Mytilus edulis: one gene and its partner. The protein of the gene in region 1 binds, or shares a complex with, the protein of each later gene. Links are inferred from orthologs where the notes say so. Each region holds a gene or a part of one and is shown on either strand. Other genes may lie near its edges. The genes, in order: negative elongation factor D-like and negative elongation factor A-like.

Region 1 (13,563 bases):
ATAGAGTTCTTACGCAGGCACTTGTCTCAGAAATATTTTTTTCCCTATATACTTTAATATAACATAAGGTACTTAACTAAACATTTTGAAAAATGTCAGCCGTAGCGAAATTCCATAATATGCCGATTTCTCAAGTTACCAACCTCACTAACCTCACTAAAAATTGTTATGTCATAAATCTGAATTGATTTTTCTACACAATGGTGTAAACGCTTACTTTTGTTGTCGAAATCATCCTTTGAAAATTGGCATTTTTTAGCAATTATTAATTATTAATTTAGAATAACAATGAAAACATCTCTTTAGAAATGTTTTTTATTTAAAAGAGTAGAAACAACGTATTCTGCACTAATTTTGTACGAGGGTAGAAGGAAAGTGATGTCAATGCCTAGTTTACCCGTGTGATAAGTTAAAACACAAATACCGAACGAACTAACAAGATGACTGATTTTAGACTATGGTAGAATATATATATTTATCCTGATTTAGAGTAATTTCTCGCAATTTGATTGGCTTATATTGTCCTAATAAATTTCAGTACATTTTTTTTATTACGTCAGTCATGTCAGTAGGAATTATCTCCCTTATTTATTATGTCAATTGGAATTATCTCCCTTATACCATTGACCTAATAAAAAATAAAAAAAAGATTTGCTTTATAGTTCTAATATTTTAAATTTTTAACAGGTTTAGATTAAATATCTTAAATATATTTGGTTCATTAGGCCACAATTAAAAATATTTCAGTTTGCCCAAACCCGACCCATGATGACTGGGTGTGGGTAGGTAGGTAGGCAAATTCTTTTTTTTTTTTTTTATCCGAATTTGCATGAAAATATTAAAAGATCTTAAAACAGTATATCTTTTTTTTTCTCTGTCAAACCTTTGTAGAGACAACCAATAGCCATGAATTTAAAACCTCTATAAATAAATTAGTCTACTATATGATTTGTTTCCTGAGATGTTTATAACCCTGACAATTGCTAACTGTGTGAAAGGGCTGTTGGATTTGTGAAGTGATTTTCAACAGTTCCATCAACATGTGTTTGTGTAAAAAAAATTGAAGCTGATTATGTAATGATTAAATTAGTTTGCAGTTTTTAAATCCTATTTCTATTAAAATAGATTAAATGTCCTAAAATATTTATATGAATTATTATCTACCATCCTTAGTTTGTGTCTTTTTGATGTTTTGAAAACAAATTTATATTTTACATTATCACACAGGTAAACTAATTTGGCTATAAATAGATCAAAGCATGTTCTGTAGAATCTCCAACCTAAAAACTAAATTTTTGAAAATAATCATTATTGATAAAATGAAATTGCATAAAGTTAACGTTTTCTGAAGACTTTATTTTTAGGTCATGGTTCTAGGGGCTTCCTCACAAATTCCAGACTTAACTAATCGATCAGATCGGTAGTCGAACACTAATCGATCATATTTGATCAGTACTCGATTGATGACTTGAAGTCATCGATCAGTAATCGATCAAACTCTCTCAGGAGTTTGATCGATTAGTGATTGATTAGATTACTGATCGATTTAAGACCGATTACTGATGAATTAGTGATTGATTAATGACAGATTAGTGATTTTATTATTATTGACAAAACAATGCTATTCCAGAAATAAGCCTTATGAAAGACATCATTTGTGAAATAAAAGTTCCATGAAAATACTTTCACCATTGCCAAAATTTTCTGAAATTCCTGGATTTACTCAGTAATACATGTTTATACAATATGCAGTCGTAACCAAGAGAAGCGTATTTAAAAGCTTAGCCCTAACAAATTCCTGACTAAAAACTACATTTTTGTAGGTTTACCCATGTATATTAGGTCCAAAAAAACTATGATATGACGTCTTGAAAGGCTTTTGTATTTTTTTCTTTTACGCCTTTTATTGACGGAAAGGGTCAAAGCAAAATTTAAAATAGCCTTCCAAGATGTCATAATTATTTGGACTACTGTTTATATAATTAGATATGACCTACAACATTATTTCCATGTGAATTTGGATCCAGCACTTACCCAACCCTTCCCGTATCATATTTTTTACTTATCAAAAATGTATATCTGTCATAAAATGTTTCTTTTTATGAAAATAAGATTAATCTAAAGTATACATGTATATAACTGATGAAAGATACATTGCTATTTTTTCTAAACACATCAGAATTTCTTTTCAGGATACATTTGTAGTAATGTAATGTTTCATTATTATATATTGTTAATGTTAATTAGGTGAAAATGTCAAAACAATAGGATCAAAAGCACAAACAGCAAATAAATAGCTGGTAAGATTGTATGGGAAAATTGATTTAGAGATAGTTGATTTGACCACACTATTGGAAACATTATCAAACATCAAAAGATTCTGACATCTAATTAGTTTTAGACACTTGTGATATAAACAGGCAAGTTGAAAACTTCACCTCCATCTAAATTTCACGATTTTATCATGAAATATGTAATAGAGCTTGAAATAGTGACCATGATGACCAGCTCATCCCTACCACTCAATTCATTCAACAACACTACCTGCTAAAGTTTACAAAGGAATGCAATAATAATTCCATAAAATTTCTAGACCTTGAAATCCTCAAAGACGAACACATGAAAATACTGGTAAGATATGAAATGCTATAAAAAAAAATACAGAAAAATTTCAACATCTTCATAAAAACCCAAAACCAACCCATTTGGAACTTTAAATCCTATATTAAAGGCAAAGGTATTCATTTACATAGAAACACAAACCAGAAAGAAAACTCTTTATTGAAAAACCATTTTATTAACTGAAATTGGTAAACAAATTTTATTAAATTCCATGACAGAAAAGATAAAATTAAGAAAAAGAAAAAAGTTTAAAATAGATGTTATGTATCATTTACATATTATCATCCTCAAGCAGAAGAACTTCAAAAAGTATTCAGGAAATTCTGGCATCTTATTAAAACAGATTCTTCAATAAGTGCTTCATTGTGTATCATATCCCATTAAAACCTATCCATAGGATTCAAAAGAAATAGAACATTGGTGAATTAATGAAATGACCTATAAAATAGTTTGTATGAAAGTCACAATTCCTTCAAAATATTTCACTGTGCAGAACTAATTAATGACCATCATCATGTAAACCTCACATGTAAACTGAAATTCTTATAAGACAAAATTCTACCAGGAAACACTTAATTCAACATTTATTAAAATAGGATGAAATAGTTAGAAAATCAAAAACAGAGTTCGTGAAAAGAGGTGGTCCTCTGGATTTTACCATCAAAATTTTGCATAGGACTGACACAATTTTAGTATTTTTCAATAGAATTGATAATGAGGACCAGCAGATTTTCTCCAAGGACCACCAGGGGAAAAAAGATTTCGTGAACTCTGCAATTAAAAAAAAATAAATCTAAATTCAAATTAACAAATTTTACAAAATTATGAAAAAATCAATAAATTAAAAGCAGTAATAAAAAAATGACAAACAGAAGGGGTGGTCTCTGCTGAAAGTTTCCCTTTAATCACCATATTTATAGAAAAACTCTAAACATTGCTACACAGTTTCAATGAAAGGCCAGAACAATGATTTGTAGTTGCACTATGCAACTACAAATCATAGGTGGATATAACGGCCTTATTTATTTAAAAACAAATATGTAACACATAATAAAAAAAGACAATCACTGAATTACAGGCTCCTGACTTGTGACGGGCACATACTCAATTCTATTTAAAAACATCTTTAATTTCTTATTCATATTCATTCTACTTATCTTTAGATGTGTATGCTTTCGTGTGAAAATAAAACACTAACCACTATTGCCTTGCATTAGGACTATTTTAAAATTTTAGAAAAAAGGGGGGATCTTCTGTATGTAAATTCAAAAGTCAATAGAAAGTTTTCCACTGACTCTGATAAAAATCTATTTATTTTTATCAGTATTTTGCAATCCTTAGTAGAGTCATAGTCCACAGCTGGTAATTTCTGGTCAGTCTTCTACAATATTGGGGAAATTAGACAATATCCTGCTGTGAAGACAAACAAGTGTGTTTGAATAAATGATGTATCAATTTTCTGTTAATTGGTAAATGTTCTGGCTATTTAGTTGTGACCTAAATTCTGGCATTAGTTAATAATGTTATAGGACAAACCCTAAATTTCATCATAAAGTTAAGGATATATCAAATTGCACAATTTATTTGTGTTGATTAATCCGTATATATGAAAAATACAGATTTTAATATATATTAGCTTGGTTGAAATTTTCATCTTCTTAATAAAATCACAAGTGTCTGAAGCTAATATTATATGTAAAAATTAATTTTGATGTGTTAACAAAGGTCATTAACTTAAAAGGCATCAAATATTTATCAAACCATGGAAGGATATATATACTACTATATTCAAGTCAAATGTTGTTGTTAAAATCTATTTTTTCACTCTTCCGGTCTTTTGGAAAATGTAGTTTGTGCTGTATTTAGACCCCTCTACAACCAAATTTGTTACATGCACACATATAAAAATTAGAGTTTTTATATCAATAATTATGACATCTTGGATGGCTTTTTTAAATTTTGCTTTGACGCCTTCCGTCAATGAAAGTTTGTAAAAGAAAAAATTAAAATAGCCTTTCAAGACGTCACAGTTATTGTACCAATATACATGGGTAAACCTACAAAAATGTAGTTTTTAATCAGGAATATGTTAGGGCTAAGCTTTTAGATACGCTTCTCTTGGTTACGACTGCATATTGTGTAAAAATGTATTGCTGAGTAAATCCTGGATTTTTTGGCATATTTAGACAGAAACATGAATTCAAGACCTAAAAATAAACACTGATGTCTGGCATGGGTATTGGTTCTAATCTTTACATTCAAATTTCCAGACACATTGACAACATCATGAAAAAAAATTCCAGTATCTTCTTAGCAGTGAAATGATTTTAAATTCTAGAATTCCAGAAAATTTTGGCAATGGTGAAAATATTTTCATGGAATTTTTATTTCACAAATGATGCCTTTCATAAGGCTTATTTCTGGAAGAGCATTGTTTTGTCAATAATAATAAAATCACTAATCTGTCATTAATCAATCACTAATCCATCAGTAATCGGTCTTAAATCGATCAGTAATCTAATCAATCACTAATCGATCAAACTCCTGAGAGAGTTTGATCGATGACTTCAAGTACTGATCAAATATGATCGATTAGTGTTCGATTACCGATCTGATCGATTAGTTAAGTCTGGCAAATTGTATAAAAATCCAATATGGCGTCCATAACATGTTTTTACTTTTGCACATGTGAAAAAATATTTCTGACAAAAGTCAAATTTCTCTTGTCAAAAGGGATTTATATTTATATTGCAATAAATTATTCAGAAGGAGTTACATTCAGTTAAGATTATATTTCTGATTCTGTGAGCAATTATAGTTTTATCAAATTCTCCCAAACAGCAACGTACTGACTGTCTAATGAGACTTGTAAATTTGAAGTATTTGAATAAAAGGACATCTAATTTACATGATAAAGGAAGATTATAATTAAAGACAACAATTTATCAAGAAATAATTCCTTTTTATTCAGTAAAAACAAAATCTTCTTGCAAGATTGTAAATTCGCAACTTCCGGATCCATTTCCTGTCAGAATAACATTGAAAATATTCGATTGCACATGGTTTTGAACAAATCTACCTGAATATTCTTATCAGATATTCGATAACACGATGAAATTAACATTGAGCATATAGGTAAGGGTTTGGTAGTACAAACAACTACAGCGTAAAAAAACTGCCACTTCACATGTTTCACTTCTTTACGTTCGTTAAATCAGAAGATAAATACAGAGAACATCGAATATCGATTAACTGCGTCTCTTATACGCTTTCTTTTAATCTTATTCACAATTACTTTCAAACGCAAAGACGACAAACATTAAGTTTTGTACGATGACGGAGCGGACCCCAAAAAAATCCGAAAAAAAAATTCTTCCAAAAAACGTCAAAAAAAGAATTTGAGTCGGCGGGTTTATTTTGGGTCGGTCGCGTTTGGGCAAACATACAATCTTTTTATTTTGGCCTTATTGTACAAATATTGAATTTATGTAATATAACAAAACCAGGATAATTCGTTACACAGTGTTTAATTGTCCTAATATGGAATTTATCGGGTCAATAAAATTCATATCGGGTTTGGCTTCGCCTCACCCGATATGAATTTTATTGACCCGATAAATTCTCGTATTAGGACAATTGCACACTGTGTAACTAATAATATATAGTTGATTTCTTTTCGAAGCATTTTATATACTGGACAAGGGAGCCAACATGTCAGATAAGTCAAGGATGGTCTATAAGCATGATGGTTCTGAAAGACATTCATCAACAAGTAACTAACATGTAACCCCATAAATTTTGTCAATTTTTTAGATCCTGGGAGATTTTTTTCTCTCGAAGAGAATAAGATTTTCTGCATTCTGAACAAATAATGAGATTTATAATAATCTGACAACTTGTCATATATGGAAATGCATACAAAATAGCAAATTGATATCATACAAACTTGTAAAAAAATAACTGAAAAGTTTTCTTTTAGATGATTATTACAAATTAAGTCTGTCGATCCTGGAAAGGTCCCCTTGAAAGAACATAAAATCATAATCAGTTACACAATGGAAAGAAACGTTAAACTGTTAAACAACATGTATTCAAAAATCTTTTGAAGTTTTTAAAATGTTGTCGCAAAATAACTAAGTGGTAAACTTTGAAAAACACAAATTTACAATGTTGATATCAGCTTTATTTCATTAATTTGGGTGTACCCATAATTTTGGGAAAGTAACTATAAAGAGTTCATTCTATGTTACATTTCTATCTTTTGTATGTTAAGGGTCAAATGCATCAATATCAATCATCATTCTTTGTTATTATTTATAAAAAAAAACATAGATTTATTGTTAATCATTTTGATAAAATTCAATGTTATGTTGAAAAGAATTACATATTCCACAATTAATTAACAGGAAAATTAACACTTCAGTGTAGATTTTTGTCTTCAAACTTTGGTGTTTTTTTATTTTTGTAGATTTATAATATATTTGTTGACAGTATATTAAAAACGCATTTAAATTTATAATGTCAGAGTTGGATGATGAAGACATGGTGTGGGATCCTGAGGAAATAGGCGGAGAGGTGACTGATCTATAAAATTGTTGATTTCAATATTTGTGAATGCCTCCATACTATAGTCTATATTTATAATGTTTATTATACCCTCTGTGAATAGATTTATGATATATTCTCAAGAGCATTTGAGAGCCTACGTTGTTTTTTTTTTATTATTAACAATCATATTCAACCATTGACAAGCTCTCATGTACTTTTGTTTGAAAAATAAAAATAAACAAATTATCTTTTCCCCTTCTATAAGACAAGTTACTGTCACCTTGTATTTTATGCAATAACAGAAGCACAAACACATCAAGTTAATATTTCTCAAGACAACATGTAGGATGTCAAAACCCTAAACATGCTAAATGACCCCTAGTCCGAGATTACTCTGACGTCCAACGGCTGTTTTGCCAGACAAGCTGGGGCCTAGGGACGTCAGAGCTCGTCCCATATCAAAAAGCGGATATTTGCCCACCCAAAGTAGATGCGCTGCTTCGTCGCTTATGGTGCCAACTGACGGCCTTGGAATTATAAAAATTGGCAGATAATTATGTAAGTGAAAGTCAAAATGCAGAAATCAATGGGTTTTTGTGAAAACTGTTAAAATATGGAAAAATAAAGGTTGGCAGGTAGGTGAAACTTACATATATATGAAAAGATAAATGAAAAAGGAACAGATTGATGCCCGATTTATATAATTCCAAGGCCGTCAGTCGGCACCAGAAGCTATGAAGCAGGGCATCTATTTTGGGTGGGAAAATATCCACTTTTTGATATGGCACGAGCTCTGACGTCCCACGGCCCCAGCTTGTCTGGCAAAATAGCCGTTGGACGTCAGAGTAATCTCAGACTAAATGACCCCAGGTTAACCAGGACAGCTCATTCATAAAACTTTGTTAAAGTCATCTTTTTAAAATATAATTGACAGATTTAAATGGGAAACAAGATAAATGAAGCGTGTAACATGTAAAGTAGGATCTGTTTACCCTTCAGGAGCACTTAAAAATCATAAGATTATCCCAGATTTTTGGTGGGATTCCTGTTGCTCAGTCTTTGGTTTTCTATGTATTGTTATAATAAAAGAATTATTTTGTATAATTGCCAATGAGACAACTCTTCACAAGAGACCAAATGACACAGAAATGAACAAGCATATGTCACTGTTCAGCCTTCAACAATGAGCAAAGCATGTACATGTACCGCAAAGTCAGCTATGAAAGGCCATGAAATGATAGAATTTAAACAATGAAAACAAGAAAACTTATAGCTTAATTAAAGAACAAGTTTTTTTTTTTTACTAATATGTTTGAATATCTCTTTGGTAACTTTTGACTAGAATGTATCTTTTGTAGATGTCTGACCATGATATGGATGGTGAAGATGAAGAAGAGAACCAAGCCATACAAGATGGATGTCTGCAAATATTCTCCGCCAGTGATTTCATTATGGAACCAGGAGTCTTTAACATGCTTAAAACGTAAATATCATCTGTTAATTTACCATAAACATATCCAATGATATCATTGCAATTGGATGCAGTGACAGTGTCTTGATAGATCCTTGTTTTTACTTGATTGGCTTTTAAACAATTTTAAAACACTATATATCTGTTATTATTTTCTATTTCTATATCTACATATAAACGTGTACGCTACAAATCTACAGATCTGTTTTTGGGCTTCACATGTTGTTCTTATCTACATGCATCAACACATGAATACATGAATATTCAATAGCTACATGTTTGTAGGCGTGTCAAAACTACATAAGCAATAATGACCAGCCAGTTCACACTGTTATGATTTTATTAACCAGTATATATTGAAAAGATAAATATAACAGTCCATTGCCATGACAGTAAATTGATTGATTGATTTAAATAGTATCAATCATGTTAATATAAAAAGCTAGTTATTATATTACCAGATAGGATTTGTTACAGCATAGAGCCAGTGATTTTTACCACTAAACTTTATTCATGCTGGGAAAGAGTTCAGGAGATCCTATGTAATTGTCTATACTTTTCATTTTAAACAGATTTTTACAAGCTGGAGGTTCACCAGAGAAAGTCGTAGAGTTACTATCTGAAAACTACAAAGCTGTTGCACAGACTGTGAATTTGTTAGCAGAATGGCTCATTCAGGCTGGTTAGTGAAACTATTAATTGTTCCTTATCATAACATACAGACTAGAACTGTGACCTATATTTGTATCATTTGGTAATTGCTGGGAAGTTGTCTTTTTGGTAATTTGCTATCATACCACATATATTCATATTATTTTTTGAAAAATTGTGATTGACATTGTTGTAACAACAGCTGATATATATGCTTGTTAGATCTCAACAGTACGGTCATCTATTCATCAAACATAGGATTCTCTTAAAAACAAGTCAAATTTTATGAAATTTACTCCCTGAGTAATTTAATTTATTGAAACAACCTCTGTTCAATTTATCAATCTCCAACTTTCGGAAAAATACTTGAAAAAAAAAATAATCATGCAATTCTCAAAATAATGGTTTCTCTCTTATCACACCTTTTTAGGTATTATAACAGATGATTTTTTTGTTTTTAGGTGTAGATATAAAAGTTGTACAAGAAATGGTAGAGAACCATTTAAAGACAATGATTATAAAACATTTTGACCCAAAGAAAGCAGATTCTATATTTACAGATGAAGGAGAGGTATAATTCTAAGTTATCAAATAGACCAATGTCAATTATTCTTCTCTTGCTTGAAAATTAAATGTAGTCACATACATGTATATCCATGTTATTAATTATACCAAATATTCCTGTCTTACATGAAGACTTTAACCAGATCAGAAACACTTTAATTTGTTATTAAGGATAATCATGAATATGTTTCTCACATAGACAATTTATAGAGATGTATATAGAAAGTACTTGTAGAAGAATTAACCCATTCTCTTAAAATCGATTTTTAAAGAATTTATATCATGCACTAATCATATATCCAAATGATGAGCATAATTATAACCATTCCTAGTGTGACCCTAAATAGTTTACATCATATACATGTACATGTACCAGTATATGACAAAACAAGACATTATTTTATTAAAACAACCTCAAGTGACTTTATATTTTGTAGATAACATAAGTTCATTGTAATTCATTGTATTTTGTAGACTCCCTCTTGGTTGGCTGAGATGATTGAATACCCCACATGGAGAGGATTATTTTACAAATTAGCAGAGGAATATCCAGATTGTTTAATGTTGAACTTCACTGTTAAGGTAGGCAAAATATCTATAACGTATAAAGGTAGGCAAAATATGTATTACATAAAACCAAATGTCTTCTTTTCAAGTAAAAATATCTAATAATAACATACAATCTTAATTATTTACTGACGGTAAATGAAATCTATAGCAAATACATTTTTTTTTTTAATTTAACCATGCCTTTTGTTTACTGTATTTCTGATGCTAAAATTTCTGTAACAGTGTACCAGTACCTCAGATGCAATATTTTTAGGTGGAGATGACCTCTGTCTCTACAGCATGTCATTAAATAGACCACTGTATCTTGTCTGTGGTTTACACTTTAATTTCTGTTCCAGCTTATCTCAGATGCAGGATTCCAAGGGGAGATAACCTCTGTCTCCACAGCCTGCCATCAGATAGAAGTATTCTCCAGAGTTTTACGGACCACTATTTCTAGTCTTCTAAATGGAGGAGAAGAATTGTTAGAAAAAAATCTCCCAGAATTTACAGTAAGAATTATAATTGTTATTAAGAAAGAAAAAAAAACACAATTATTTGTTATTTATTACATTTTCTGAACTGTACTTCTATTTTAAAAAAATCATCAAACTATAACTCTTTAAATAATAGAATATGTGGCAAAAATTTTGTCAGAGTTTGTGACAGTATTATCCTTTGCCTTGAACATTTGTTTTCCTTACTAGAGGAGCACTGTTTCTTGATTTGTCCCTTCTCACATTTATCTATTACAAATTACTTGCCTGATGACAATTACAAAATAACTGATATGCTGAATTATGTTTTGTATTTGTTTTAGAAAATGGTTTGTCATGGAGAACATACCTACCTATACAGTCAAGTGTTAATGCAGATATTGTCACAGGAACCAAAAGGTGGATCTAATATCAGAAGGTTGTGCCAGGAATTACAAAAATCTGCTAATGAAAGGTAAGCAACAAAAACAATTAATGTTTTTTGAATACTTTAAAATACATTTGAAACTATTGTTTTTTCCATGAGTGATGATTTAAGACTTACTTTATCATTAAATTGATTTTGTGCACATTTGTTACATATAAATTTTTAGTGGAAAGTTAACTATGGAGAATTGAATTGATTTCTCTTTTTTCCATTCAAGCAACAAAAATCATAATGAATTATATCCAAAGTCCTTGCAATGAATCATAGGTTGTAGTTGTTGTTGTTGTTGTTGTATAGGTGTAAGCTGCCTTAATAAATATTTTTTTTTTGCTCACTAAGATTTTCGTTGATAATGTATTTGTATTTATTACACTACTACTTTAATAATATATATATATATATGATTGTGATGACAGAGGATTGGATGTAACACCTATAACGCTAGCTTTGAGTGGTGCAGCAGCCTACCCCAGGGCTTGTCAAGCTTTATCATCTATGCTGTCAAGGAATGCTTTAAATCCAGCAGATATTACCATTGTATGTATCATTAAACATTTCTTTTCCGAAACACAAAGGTCGTCAGTAAGGAGCTGAGGGAGCAAAAAGTTTAGAAAAAAGAACATTTTGATAGTTCATGATCTACTTTTGAAAAACACAAATTAAAATAAATTACTGCTTAGTTTGACGTATTTACAATGGTTTAAACATGTAACTATGGAAAGTTTTATACCCTGTACATTGTTAAAACAGAGCCCCCAGATAGCTTTAACTAGATGAGCAAGTTGTGTAATTTCAGAACTTATCTGTATTGTAATGAATAGGGATAAGGTGTATATAAAGTCAAAGAAAAATATTGAAAAAAGGAAAACATAGAATTTTAGATTGTATTTAGTTCTTAAGGTGTGGAAGTTTACAAAATTTAAAGACAACTCATAGGGATATCTATTTACACATGATTCATAATGTTTTTGCAAAAATATTCTGTTTATTTCCTTAAAATGCACCTGTATATGACTATTTCTTGACTTTTTCATTCTTTTTTGAAACAATTATTTCATTATTGTTCACTGGTTGTTTGAGATATCTCTTTAAGTCTACTATGGTTTCTTTTTCAGTTATACAAAATGTACACCGACATGAACCCTCCACCAGTTGATTTGATCAGAGTACCAGCATTCCTTGGTAAGATTAATTTAAAGGAATGCAGATATATTTACTTGAATTAAAAAAAATTGAGGCAGGATCCCTCGCTTTTATGCTTTTACTAAAAAATCTGTTTGATTTCAGCTATTTTTGCATCAGTTTTCATTTTGAAGCATCTTTTCTAATTTATTATTCGTTTTTTCTTCAATAACACATAATGGATTTATCCAAACTAGTAAAGCTTAATTTTGCACTTCTTCTGAAGTTAAAACTGCATGATGGAAATAAAGGATTGAATTGTAAGATACAAGTCAATAAATAATTTGAAGTTCACATTGGTAAATGAAATCAATTTTTTTCTTCATTGTTTTAAAATAAGCACTTTGATTTCATTCATTGTTTTATAATGTATACACACAATTCAAGGGAAAATACATCTGGTTTTAGTAGTATTATAAATAGCTTAGAACTTCAACAGTGTATGTTTAATTTCAGATTTACTGATAGATGCCATGTTCAAACCAGTATCAAAAGTGAACCCTGAACATAAAGCTAAATATATATATGTTTTGTCATATGCTGCAAGTGTCACAGAAACTTATAAAAAGGTACTGAAAAATGCTTGTACATACACATTTATTTAATAACTTTGCATGTCTGAATTGGAAAGGTAATGTATGTTTGACATTTCCTTGACATTTCCCAAGCAGAATATGAAGGGAATCAGATTTTTTCCTTAGGGAACCCCTAAAATTATTATGTAGAGTGAGCCTAAAGGTTTGTAATGAGAAACAATGGGAAGACAACTCCAGATAATCAGAATTACTTTGAAAATTTGATTTTTGTCTATATGCACTCCATATTGTATTCTTTGTTGAAGTTTTTATGTGTTACTATTGAAAATATATACAAGTTTAAATTCTTCCATTTAAAAATTTGGATATATTTATTTGAACATCTATAAGTGATTTTTTGTAAATTACCATATCTTTATATCATTTGCATTCATTTTTCAGTATGTGTTGTTTATTCATTGGTTTTCTATGTTGTGTCATGTGTACTATTGTTTGTCTGTTTGTTCTTTTCATTTT
Region 2 (13,137 bases), on another chromosome or scaffold:
GGTAGATCCTTTAACACAGGATTTTGTCTTTACTTAATATTCGGGACTATGGAATTTCGTTTCTTTATATTTGGGGTTTCGGAATCGGACACCCCAAACCCTCACTCCTAAATTTATAGATTCTGGAACTAAAAGACCACCAACTATTTCCAGAAATAATTTGAAATTACGGAACTACATGTACAAACGTCAAAAACTCCATTCCAATTCCCCTGTACCCATATATACTTACTCTATAGATAGAATCATATACGTGTATCTTATCTCATTCTATCCCTAGTTTGTCTACTCTTTGTCAGCATAAAAGCGAGTTTAATATTTTGTAACTGCGACTGTATGATGGTTCTTACAGGAAAGCTTACAGGAAAGCCTTTTGCAAACAAAACTGTTGCTACCGATTTGCTGATGGAGAAGGATTTGGAAGAAGACATTTATCATTGTGTTGATGATGATGTGCTACCTTTAGAAATACAGACTGCCCTGAAACAACTGAAAACTTGGAAAAGAGCATTCATGAGTGGCGCGAGATTGTGCGGTCTTGAAAATTTGGTGTTAATAAAAGTCTTAAAAAATGAAAAATTTATATAAAGTGTCCAAATTCACAACATTATCAAACTCTCTAAAAATGCCTAGAATGCAGGATTTTGCACCTATCATTTCATACCCTCCAAAAAAAATTTTCGCCTCGCTTCTCTCGGCTCAATTATTTTGCCTCACTAAAATAAGATGCCTAGCTACAGCCTTGTTAGTCATAAATTGATGGTATGTCATGTTTGTAAGACTTAATCTAAGGCAAATGATTGTGTCATGCATGCAAATTTTCACTTTTCCTTCTACTTGAAAATATTAGTACTAAAAGGTTGTGAGCAAAAAGTCAATTTAATGACCATGTGGACAGCAAGATACATGTATGATATATATCCAAGTGTTGAAGAAATTTTCAAATACATAAAAACCATTTCCTCAAGTTTAGCTATTCAATTGTTTAGTTTTGGTTTTATTTTTTACTGTCTGCATATAAACTTAGACATACACATGTATGTAAAATAATATAACATCACTTTATAAATTGTTATAATGTACATGTTTTTTCTTGATATTTAACAGATAAACAACAAAAATTTAAAAAAAAATCAAATCAACAAATATTCTTACCTCCATTTGGCATTTGGAATGTTTGGAATATCTCTACCAATTTATATATCATGTATATAATTCATATATCATTTGCATATGTCATGTGTATGTAAACAATGTATAGAAATAACATGCAATAAACTGTTGGATGCTTCTGTTGTATTATTTAACTTTAAGATCTATATATTGTAACTGTTCCAGACCATATGTCGATATGAGTATTTGGACCGTATACGTATACTCGTACGGTCCAACCATACGTGTATGGTCGGACCCTATGAGTATACACGTATGGTCCAGTTTGAGCTGACCATACATGTTATGGATTATATTGGTTAAATTTAAACAAATGTTTATCACAATCTCAATTTTTAGTTTTACAAATTTTTATTATTACAAATAGATTGATAAAATGAACAAAGGAACAATTGAAATTAAATATTTGTTCAATTTTATATCTGAATCCTATTTTGGTACTCTTGCCCAAGGTGACACTTGCTATTGTCCTCCCAAATTATGTTTACTTCCGATATCTTCAATTTCAATGATCATAATTCAATTAATGTATTACTGATCTATATAAGCTTATAAATACAAGAGATTAACAGATTTAATTATTGTGAATTTTTTATATAGTTAAAATATAAAGTTTTTATTTCAATTACAATAGAACTTTTTTATAACAATTTGAGAGTTAAGTTATGTTGATCTGTTAAATGCATTTGTATCTAATTAATTTGACCAACTTCTTGATATTAGTCAGACACGTACGGTATGACCATATGAGTATTTTGAAAAAGTACGCATACGGTCCAGACCGTACACGTACGGTCCAAATACTCTGGAACATAACTACTTTATAATCATACACATGTAATAATATATATTTTATACTTTTATTGAAGATAAATGACATTTGATGAAAAAAATCAATTACTGTTTAAAAATGTACAACTGTTAAATATATATCCTGTTTCTAATTCTATGTAGTGCTTGTCTAATTTGGACAGTCACAGAATCCCTTATCACAGCCACACAAAAATATAGTTTGCCTTTCGAAAATTTTAAAAACATAACGTGACGGTACCTAAATTGCACCTATTTTGACAGTTTTTTCACCTACGTTTTTTTATGATAAAGACGCGACAATAATGTCCATTCTGTGTTTATTTTGAAGCTGTATCCTTCTTTATTATAAAGGTATACCTATTCGATTTTTAATCCATATGGAATCATAGAAAAATTGGTCTAAACTGACCTCCAAACCATCAATGATTCTGAAATGAGGAGTACCCAAATTGCATCTATGCTTAAATTCGCATCGTCAAAAGTCGAATAACAGAGCTTTTGTTTAATTTCCTCAAATATTTTGAACAATCGGATATAAATCCATGCTTACTCTTCATTTTTTTTTAAAATGGGTACTTGTAACATATTGTATTTGATCATTTTAAAAAGATGATGTTTTGATGACGTCGCATAGCGACGTTTCAGTACATTTTGCTTTTTCAGTAAACACTTCATCTATTGATAAATACTGTGAACATTTTGTGCATATCTAAATATTTTTACCTATGTTGAAAGATGTGCATAGTATCAAATCATAAAAATACAAATTGTGTAGTCTCTAGGAAATCTTGTAAGATGTCTGCTGCTATTTTTGCTAAATAGGTGCAATTTGGGTACTCGTTGCAATTTGCGTACCGTTTCATTAGAGATTTACCATGTCTCTAGAACCAATGCATTTGTCACATACAATAACGAGCCAAAATGCAAAAAAATATCCATTTACATTGCAAACTTATAATTTAACCTTGGTTTAAATTCCTTTATTTACAATCCTTATAACAAGTTCAAGAATGTCAAGACAATCACGTTTTTTTAGTAGTTTTTTTATAAAACATCACTACTATAAAAGTGCAATAAAGTAATTTCATAAAGTTATAAAAGGTATATATATGAAAGTCATATGCATCAAAATATAATTTTATTACATGAAACATGGCCGAATTGAAGTATAATTGTTTAGTACATATGAAAGAATTAAGCAACATAACTATAGAAAATTTAAATTTAATAAATCTAGCGTACATTACTGTTTTTCATGTAACAATAACACAATGTAACCGTAGCCTCAATAATTATTGTTTCATACGTAATTAATCGGTTCCTTACCCAACTTTGCATTCCGGCAATTAGTCTCCGATGTAACAATAATATTTTTTTTATTGTTACATTTCCATGTAACCGTAGCCAGTGCCATTTATCAAGGATTTGTATCCTTGCATTTATATATGGGGACGAAAAAAAAATCCAGACTTCGTCCCCATTCCCAGGTAATGCCTGCCTCATATTAAATCACATAAAATGATATGTCTTCACTTGAAAATTAATTGCTTATGCTTTTGTGCGTAAAAAGTTTAATCTTTACTGTAAAATATGACAGGAATCAGTTGAATTTGAGCATGTTTACCTGGAACACAAATCCTGGGCGCAGACATATTGGATTGTTCTATTTCATGGGTGTGAATGTTTTAAGTTGGTGCAGGATTTGTCATTTTTGTATTGTTCACAATGAACAGTTAGACTTAGTTTACAAATTACTTCTTTATTTGTTTGTTACAATGTATTTTAACATATATAAACCGCAGGAAAAAGAGAGACTTATTTAGATAAATATTATATTTTGACACAGTTACCCCTATTCAAAATTAGATGGTCCAAAGCATATCCTGTTTTGAAACAAAAGTGAAAGTGCAGAACAATATTATATGAATATTCTATTCTTGCTTATGTTTTGAAATATACCGTCTGTATTTGATGTCTTAATATGGGAGAATCTTTTGATCTTGCAAAGGTAAACACCATTAAAAAAAACCAATAAAATATACAAAACAAGCTACTGTAACATCAGGATGAAGGGGGGTCTCATTGGGGGGTGGGGGGTTCTGATCCCGGGTCCCGCTTACTGTTTTGTCAGATTCCCGTATCCCGTTTACACAATTCTCCTATGTCCCGCTAGACTTCATTTCCCGTTTTCACGGCACAATAATTTGACTTCAACATGTCACGCTTACAAAAAATTGACATGAATCCCGCGTCACTCTTAGAACCAAATGAGACCCACATGAAGTACAGCAACAAAAGTGCAGTTCTCTATTTTTTGTGTGTTTTTAGGTGTGCAAATACTTTTTTTATGTGGATTAATTCCCTCTCATCCTTTGTTTTTCAATTTACAAACACAATATAATAAACTAAAGACTATTTTGACAGTTTTTTCACCTACGTTTTTTTATGATAAAGACGCGACAATAATGTCCATTCTGTGTTTATTTTGTAGCCGTATCCTTCTTTATTATAAAGGTATACCTATTCGATTTTTAATCCATATGGAATCATAGAAAAATTGGTCTAAACTGACCTCCAAACCATCAATGATTCTGAAATTAGGAGTACCCAAATTGCATCTATGCTTAAATTCGCATCGTCAAAAGTCGAATAACAGAGCTTTTGTTTAATTTCCTCAAATATTTTGAACAATCGGATATAAATCCATGCTTACTCTTCATTTTAAAAAAAAATGGGTACTTGTAACATATTGTAAAATTATTTGATCATTTTAAAAAGATGACGTTTTGATGACGTCGCATAGCGACGTTTCAGTACATTTTGCTTTTTCAGTAAACACTTCATCTATTGATAAATACTGTGAACGTTTTGTGCATATCTAAATATTTTTACCTATGTTGAAAGATGTGCATAGTATCAAATCATAAAAATACAAATTGTGTAGTCTCTAGGAAATCTTGTAAGATGTCTGCTGCTATTTTTGCTAAATAGGTGCAATTTGGGTACTCGTTGCAATTTGCGTACCGTTTCATTAGAGATTTACCATGTCTCTAGAACCAATGCATTTGTCACATACAATAACGAGCCAAAATGCAAAAAAATATCCATTTACATTGCAAACTTATAATTTAACCTTGGTTTAAATTCCTTTATTTACAATCCTTATAACAAGTTCAAGAATGTCAAGACAATCACGTTTTTTTAGTAGTTTTTTTATAAAACATCACTACTATAAAAGTGCAATAAAGTAATTTCATAAAGTTATAAAAGGTATATATATGAAAGTCATATGCATCAAAATATAATTTTATTACATGAAACATGGCCGAATTGACCAAGGCCGAAACGACCATGGACGTACCGGGACCTTGGCCGAAACGTCGTGTTTCCCTAAATAACACTTTACTGCATTGGAATAATTTTCACGATCAACTATGATACTATATTTGTAAGGATTGTTTTGAAGATAGAAACATGATTTATTTGATCTACCTGCTCTACATTCCTCCTCGGCAAGTGCAGAAATGACAACATTAGCTTCACTTTAACGTGTGGTTGAAGTGCATTGTAGCAAGCTTGGATATTTTGTAATTTTGCTTGGTTTATTTGTGAACATATTGTCTTTCCGGACCACAAATCGTCGGTAGAACCTAGCTTGTTGTGCAGCCACAGAGCTGTGTCACCAGCAGCCATCTTGGAGAGGCGACCGAAATACAAAATGAAAGGAAAACAACAATTGGGTGATAAAAATAGCTTTTAATTAACATAAACTTCCGGTTAAATAGAAAGTAAACACTTCGAATGTTTACAAAAAGGTAAAAGTCAAACTATCTTTTAGGCTTGTCTATTAATTGTATTTTGTCAACCACACCTATCATTGATTAATTATCATTTATAGGACAGTGTCAGTTAGTGGCAGCAAATATTGATTCCTTATTTATGTTTAATTACAATATTCATTGAAAACAATCATGTTTTGTTTACATTCAAAACTCAAGGATAAATTGAAAGAGTAACTGAGTTTGTCCTGTTTTGTTTTGTTTTATAATAAAAAAAGAATGACCATCTTTGCTACAAGTATCTTGTCTTCACTGACTGATCTCACGTTTAAGGGAGAGGGGCGAGCTCCAGTAATTTTCAGTGATTTACTATAATACAAGGCAGGCATGACCTGTGATAGGTGATGGAGTCCTTATCAATTATTGTTTATAATTCAAACATATTTGAATGATAAAAAAATATACCGTAAAGTTTCTGATGTTGGTCCTGTAGTTTCAGTTGCGACATCATTTTTGGACAGATAAATCCTAAATTATGAAAAGTCACTCTGATTCAAAACAAACAATTCTCTGAAAATGATATATTCTTGATAATCAAGATGCTTGATTTCTTGATTGCCAATATATTTGTAACAATAGGAGGATGTGTTTTTCAACAAACAATCAGCATTCTCATGGGAACAAACTGTGCCCCTCTTCTTGCTGACTTGTTCCTTTATTCATATGAGACTGACTTCATACAGGAACTTCTTAGGAAGAAAGAAAAGAAGTTAGCAATATCCTTGAACTTCACCTTCCGCTATATAAATGATTTTTCTCAGTAAACAATTCAAAATTTTTGACTATGTTGAACACATCTATCCCATCAAACTTGAGATAAAGGATACACCAGTTACAGTCAAGTGTGCCTCATATCTGAACTAACATCTAGTAATTACAATCCTGTCCCCTTTTCCCTGAATGTGACCTATGGATTTAGACTTATTACCAGGTTTGTACTAATATGAGCAACAGGAAGGGTGCCACATGTTGAGCAGGATCTGCTTTCCCTTCAGAAGCACCTTAGATCAACCCCAGTTTTAGTCAGATTCATGAATTTCATGTTGCTCAGTCTCTAGTTTTCTATGTGTGTAGTTTTTTTTTAGTCCCAGGACAATTGTAAGACAATGAATGATTGAGTTAATTAAATTTTGATTTAGATCCTGAAATAGAAAATGGAAGACACAACGGTGTTCCCCCAGACCAAAAATTTTGTTTGCCTTGTAAAACTGATATTGTTGAAGATTCAATCTATTTTCTACTTCAATGTCCATCACTATATTAAATTAGAAAGGTCCACTTTTATTTCTGACATTTTCTAAATTCTAAAGGATTTATATATTGACGGTAACATCCAGCATTTTTTTGAAGACCTATATAATAATGTCGTATGATACTGAGTCAAGAAATGAACAATGGTGAATCTGACTTGGTATTTGGTCATAATTACTAAAATATGTTTATTAGGTCTTTCCACCTTTCGTGTGGAAAGACCTATTGATTTTGTTCTGATTATTTCTTCCGCCTAATTTTTTTCTTGCGGTGTAAAAATGTTTCAAAAGATGTCGCTTAGTTTTTTTGTATATGAGATCATACAGTCTATACGCTTTTGAAACTCACCCTGTTTAACTGAACACTTTTCTTTGTAAGAGTTATCTCCCCAAACACTGTTTTTCTTGTTATCAGATCTCCTCCGCAACCGTAAAAGAAAGCAACAAATTTATTTTTCCAAATTGCTCGTTATATCCTCAGGATGTTACGTTTTATTTAGACCGAACCAATACGAAGACTCCATATGAGAGTAATTTCCCCTTTTGTATTGAAATAAGTGAAATAAATTTGTAACTGGAAAACCATAAGTGATAGAGGACTAGGGTCTTTTGATTTGAGGCCCTTGCTCAAAAAGTATGAAAATGAGGTCAAAGTCAAAGGTCAAGGTCATGTTCAAATTTTTGATTTTGGCTTGTTATCTCTTATTTTCAGAAATCATACAAGATATCGACAAAATATTTTCACACAATTGTTAGTTGCGACATGTCGTAACATGTAAATTTTACTTAAAAGGGTACGTAACATTTAATGCGAGTTTTGCCCCCTTTTATATCTAATATTAGTTGTATGGTAATATAACTCATTAACAATATAAAGTAGAGGCCTAGAGTCTTTTGATTTGAGGTCCTTGGTTGATGACCTTGAAATTGAGCTCAAGGTCATAGGTAAATTTAACGTTCTAGATTTTGACCTTTGCTTTTTCCTCTTATATATACATGATAAAGCCATGGGACTTTTGGCAAAAGGTTGCAAGCAATGTGACCTTGAAAAAGCCAACCGGAAGTGACCTTTTGTAAACCGGAAGTAGCCATTTTTTGTACTAATTTAATGTAAAAGTATATAGAACCATCTATTTTTGGAATCAGTGTCAAGTAAACTATCAAAACATACCGGAAATAACATCTTTTAAACTGGAAGTAAAAAATGATCTCCCTTATGTATATCTTTTTGTATAGAAACCATATATTTTTGGAATCAGTGTCCAATAAGCTGTCATTTGACGCTAAAATTGACATTTAAAACCAAATTTTAATATTTTCATATAAAAAAGATCCTTACTGGTGGAAAGACCATCAATGGTTCTCTGAACAATTGGTTTTTAATTTTATTTTTGTTTCTTTTGCAGACTTATTTAGACCTACATTCCACAAATATGGATTTATTTAGTTTGCTGAGAAATAATTTATCACCATCCAAAAAGATGATAAATGCAATAACCTCAAAAGATGTTTCATTAATAGAGGATATATTGAGGTCTGGATTTAATGTGAATTCTAGAGTATATGAACAAGGAGGAGAAACTGCTCTACATATAGCTGTATCTAAGGCTAACTATAGCAAACCTGTTATCGAAAAACTTATAGAATACAAAGCAGATCCTTCTGTAACAAATGATTTTGGTGTCACCTCTTTACACAGAGCAGCCACAAATGATGACGCAGACATTGCATTCTTATTACAACATGACAAAAGTTCCACGTCTATAAATGACTTCTGGGTCTCTTTCACAAGGGATTTTACACACTGGCTGCAACATCATACTGTATCACCAAAAACATTAATGATTCTACTTATAGCCACCCCAAACTTTGCTAAATATCCAGAAAATATTAGAAAAACTATGTTCACCACTGTTTTAAATGAACAGACACCATTTTATAACTGTTTGAAAGTTATGGCTGTGATAGATAAAACCTTGAGAAACCAGCAGATTGCACAAATTCCTGATGATGACGAAAGGAAAGAATTTCTGGAATGGTTAGACAATTTTAAACGTAAAGTACCAACTCTTCAGCACTGCAGTCGGATGGCTTTAAGACAAGCACTTGATAACAAATGGAATGTGATATATGGAACTGAGAGGTTATATTTACCCAAATCTCTAAAACAGTTTGCTAAATTCAATGATATTACCAGTGTTGGCTTATCAACTTAAGGGATTCTAAAAACTGCATTTAATTTAGTTGTTATTAAATATGTTAGAAATGAACACAATTTCTCATGTATAATGTTTAAAAAAAAAACAGTTTTATATGATTATTTCACTTTTATCTTTTTAACTTAGAATACTTCATTAAACAGTAAATTGTATAGATTATGTTTTTTTTTTATAATTTCAAAAGTCAGAACTAAATATCAGGATTTATTTTCTACAAATTTGGGGATCATGGCTCATTTATCCCATTTTAATTTTTAGTTACCCTTCTTTAACCTGAAGTCCAAAAACCTGATAAATTATATATCACAAATTATCACACCGCGGGTAAAATATCACGTTGTGATTGGTTTAACACCGTCACGTGGTGACCCCCTATGAGACTGTAGGGGGTTAGTAAATTTCATATGGGGTTCATGACGCGTTAATGGTGACGTCATCTATCGATGTTGTTGTGTTTCATTGTTTATTTTTCAAGCAGAAAAAGTCCAGCGTGCGATAAATTCGTTATACGGTTAACTACTGACCCCCTCCGGCCTCACCCCTATGAATTTTACTAACCCTCTATGGATCCGTAGGGGGTCAGTAGCGAACCATATAACTTATAATATCATTTCACTTCATATAAATAAAAACTGAATACTTTAAAAAAGATCCCTTATACACCAATGTAAAATTTTGAAGGTCCACACACAAATTAAAAGGTCACAGGGACTACTACACATGGATTGTTAATTTTGAAGGTCTATATATACAAAAAAGATCCAAGAACTCATGCATTAATCAACAAGTTTCAATCCCCCTCATTATTGACTTTTATTTTCATTTTTCACTGTATAGTTGTCTGATTTTATTATGTTTCATGCACATCTCTATTTAATTAAAGGGGCCTCTGTGACCAGGAAGTCTAAGTATGAACAACTGTTTCACTAGCCTGTTAACACCGAAGGTGTGAGTTTGTAACCTGGACAAGGCAGGTGCATTTGACTCTAATCTTAATTTACTAGGATTGTTCTAACAATGATTGGTGGTTCTCTTCAGACTCCCTGGCTTCCTCCACCAGTATTGACACAATGATTGGTGGTTCTCTTCAGACTCCCTGGCTTCCTCCACCAATATTAATTGAGACAATGATTGGTGGTTCTCTTCAGACTCCCTGGCTTCCTCCACCAATATTAATTGACACAATGATTGGTGGTTCTCTTCAGACTCCCTGGCTTCCTCCACCAATATTAATTGACACAATGATTGGTGGTTCTCTTCAGACTCCCTGGCTTCCTCCACCAATATTAATTGACACAATGATTGGTGGTTCTCTTCAGACTCACTGGCTTCCTCCACCAATATTAATTGAGACAATGATTAGTGGTTCTCTTCAGACTCCCTGGCTTCCTCCACCAGTATTGACACAATGATTGGTGGTTCTCTTCAGACTCACTGGCTTCCTCCACCAATATCAATTGAGACAATGATTGGTGGTTCTCTTCAGACTCCCTGGCTTCCTCCACCAATATTAATTGACACAATGATTGGTGGTTCTCTTCAGACTCCCTGGCTTCCTCCACCAATATTAATTGACACAATGATTGGTGGTTCTCTTCAGACTCACTGGCTTCCTCCACCAATATTAATTGAGACAATGATTAGTGGTTCTCTTCAGACTCCCTGGCTTCCTCCACCAATATTAATTGACAATGATTGGTGGTTCTCTTCAGACTCCCTGGCTTCCTCCACCAATATTAATTGACACAATGATTGGTGGTTCTCTTCAGACTCCCTGGCTTCCTCCACCAATATTAATTGACACAATGATTGGTGGTTCTCTTCAGACTCACTGGCTTCCTCCACCAATATTAATTGAGACAATGATTAGTGGTTCTCTTCAGACTCCCTGGCTTCCTCCACCAATATCAATTGAGACAATGATTGGTGGTTCTCTTCAGACTCCCTGGCTTCCTCCACCAGTATTGACACAATGATTGGTGGTTCTCTTCAGACTCACTGGCTTCCTCCACCAATATCAATTGAGACAATGATTGGTGGTTCTCTTCAGACTCCCTGGCTTCCTCCACCAATATTAATTGACACAATGATTGGTGGTTCTCTTCAGACTCCCTGGCTTCCTCCACCAATATTAATTGACACAATGATTGGTGGTTCTCTTCAGACTCCCTGGCTTCCTCCACCAATATTAATTGACACAATGATTGGTGGTTCTCTTCAGACTCACTGGCTTCCTCCACCAATATCAATTGAGACAATGATTGGTGGTTCTCTTCAGACTCCCTGGCTTCCTCCACCAATATTAATTGACACAATGATTGGTGGTTCTCTTCAGACTCCCTGGCTTCCTCCACCAATATTAATTGACACAATGATTGGTGGTTCTCTTCAGACTCCCTGGCTTCCTCCACCAATATTAATTGACACAATGATTGGTGGTTCTCTTCAGACTCACTGGCTTCCTCCACCAATATTAATTGAGACAATGATTGGTGGTTCTCTTCAGACTCCCTGGCTTCCTCCACCAATATTAATTGACACAATGATTGGTGGTTCTCTTCAGACTCCCTGGCTTCCTCCACCAATATTAATTGACACAATGATTGGTGGTTCTCTTCAGACTCCCTGGCTTCCTCCACCAATATTAATTGACTGCCACAAGATAGCACAATAGTATTAGTGTTAAAAGTGGTGTTTAGCATAAATCTATTTAATCTCACTGGAAAACAAATCACATATTGCAAGTGCCGACAAAGTTTTCAGTGATTTTCCTTAGAAATATTGATTCAATTGATTAATATCCAGTTGATTAGAAGGATTCCATGCATATTCAGTACAATAACTAATCAAACAATGAATAAATGAAAGAGGGTCTGAGTACATTGATAAAGAGGCTAGACATGAAATGCTGGGAGAGAGAAACCTAACATAGATGGTCAATGTTTGGATGAAGAAAAAAAAAAACACTGAAAAAAAACCCAAAATATTTCTTTTTAGATTTAAAGTTATACATTGTACTACAGTGACTTGACTTAAGTGTTTGTCATCACCTATTACATTTCATTTCAAATTCTGACACCAATGGCAATTTGTTTTAATAAAGTCTTACAGATTGTAAGTAGGCTTTATTTTATGACTTTTCAGTTGGTTAAAGTTTCTGACCAGTCGAACAGTTTGATTACATAAAGCAAGTCACATTACTGAATGGTAAATGTCATATTTTTCCACTTTGGTAGTTTTATCATATAACATTGGTATTGTAAATTGTTCCAGTCTGCACTACACAAGATGTTTATTTTTCCATGTCAATGAATGTGATCATAACCATAAGTGTAATATTATTTGATCTAGCATGAAGTATCCATCATTATTCATATCTCTTTCAAAATCCCCTGTCTGGCTTGAGATGACCTAGAGTAGAACTTTGCAGTTACAGTTGTATCACATGTTACTTTTGGTTTCCCATCTGTGTTTTTGTTCAAACCTGAAAAAACATATGTAGTACATGTAGTTAGACTGAGGAAAACATATAAATAAATAATAAAACTTACATAGCTATAAAACAAATTCAATGTATCATTAACTAGAGGCTCCAAGAGCCTGTGTCGCTCACATAATATTTTATTTACACTATTGATGCATGAAATAATGCAACTGATACTTTTACTCATTTTTCAGAGATACAAGTCAAAAGACTTTTGTAAAAGATTCTTATATGACGTGCTTCTTTCGCTTTGTAAACAACACCGTGTAAAAATTCTCAATATATCTATACTTAGCGCAGACTCAGAAATATACATAATTAAATAATGGATATTACAATATACCTCCCACTTAAATCCA

Evidence for each region.
Region 2: the proteins of negative elongation factor D-like (region 1) and negative elongation factor A-like are in contact, whole or in part, in a crystal structure (PDB 5L3X), measured with the Homo sapiens proteins. The link is inferred for Mytilus edulis from reciprocal best matches to the Homo sapiens genes NELFCD and NELFA. Residues at the interface, in XP_047296144.1 of Homo sapiens: Cys204, Gln205, Gln206, Leu207, Glu208, Phe210, Ser211, Leu214, Arg215, Leu218, Ala219, Ile221, Leu222, Asp223, Gly225, Glu226, Cys241, His242, Gly243, Glu244, His245, Thr246, Tyr247, Leu248, Phe249, Ala252, Met253, Ser255, Val256, Leu257; in NP_005654.4 of Homo sapiens: Leu23, Trp24, Ala25, Leu54, Leu58, Leu61, His62, Arg65, Pro88, Trp89, Met92, Val93, Ile96, Leu97, Phe100, Gly104, Ser105, Leu106, Leu108, Leu110, Asn116, Val117, Asp119, Ile120, Leu121, Glu123, Leu124, Arg125, Lys127, Val128.

Annotation. Positions count from the first base shown.
Region 1 is NC_092348.1:83,759,134-83,772,696, forward strand, and holds the start of negative elongation factor D-like, read left to right. Parts: upstream 1-7,026; 5' UTR 7,027-7,140; coding exon 7,141-7,197; intron 7,198-8,528; coding exon 8,529-8,653; intron 8,654-9,213; coding exon 9,214-9,323; intron 9,324-9,753; coding exon 9,754-9,863; intron 9,864-10,330; coding exon 10,331-10,438; intron 10,439-10,764; coding exon 10,765-10,917; intron 10,918-11,225; coding exon 11,226-11,356; intron 11,357-11,745; coding exon 11,746-11,866; intron 11,867-12,444; coding exon 12,445-12,511; intron 12,512-12,967; coding exon 12,968-13,080; intron 13,081-13,563. Other genes in the region: uncharacterized protein, read right to left, coding at 6,569-6,664. UniProt on the Homo sapiens protein: Essential component of the NELF complex, a complex that negatively regulates the elongation of transcription by RNA polymerase II.
Region 2 is NC_092347.1:88,041,016-88,054,152, forward strand, and holds the start of negative elongation factor A-like, read right to left. Parts: upstream 5,714-13,137; 5' UTR 5,680-5,713; coding exon 5,479-5,679; intron 1,189-5,478; coding exon 1,156-1,188; intron 1-1,155. Other genes in the region: uncharacterized protein, read left to right, coding at 8,509-9,291; protein FAM204A-like, read right to left, coding at 12,736-12,778. UniProt on the Homo sapiens protein: Essential component of the NELF complex, a complex that negatively regulates the elongation of transcription by RNA polymerase II.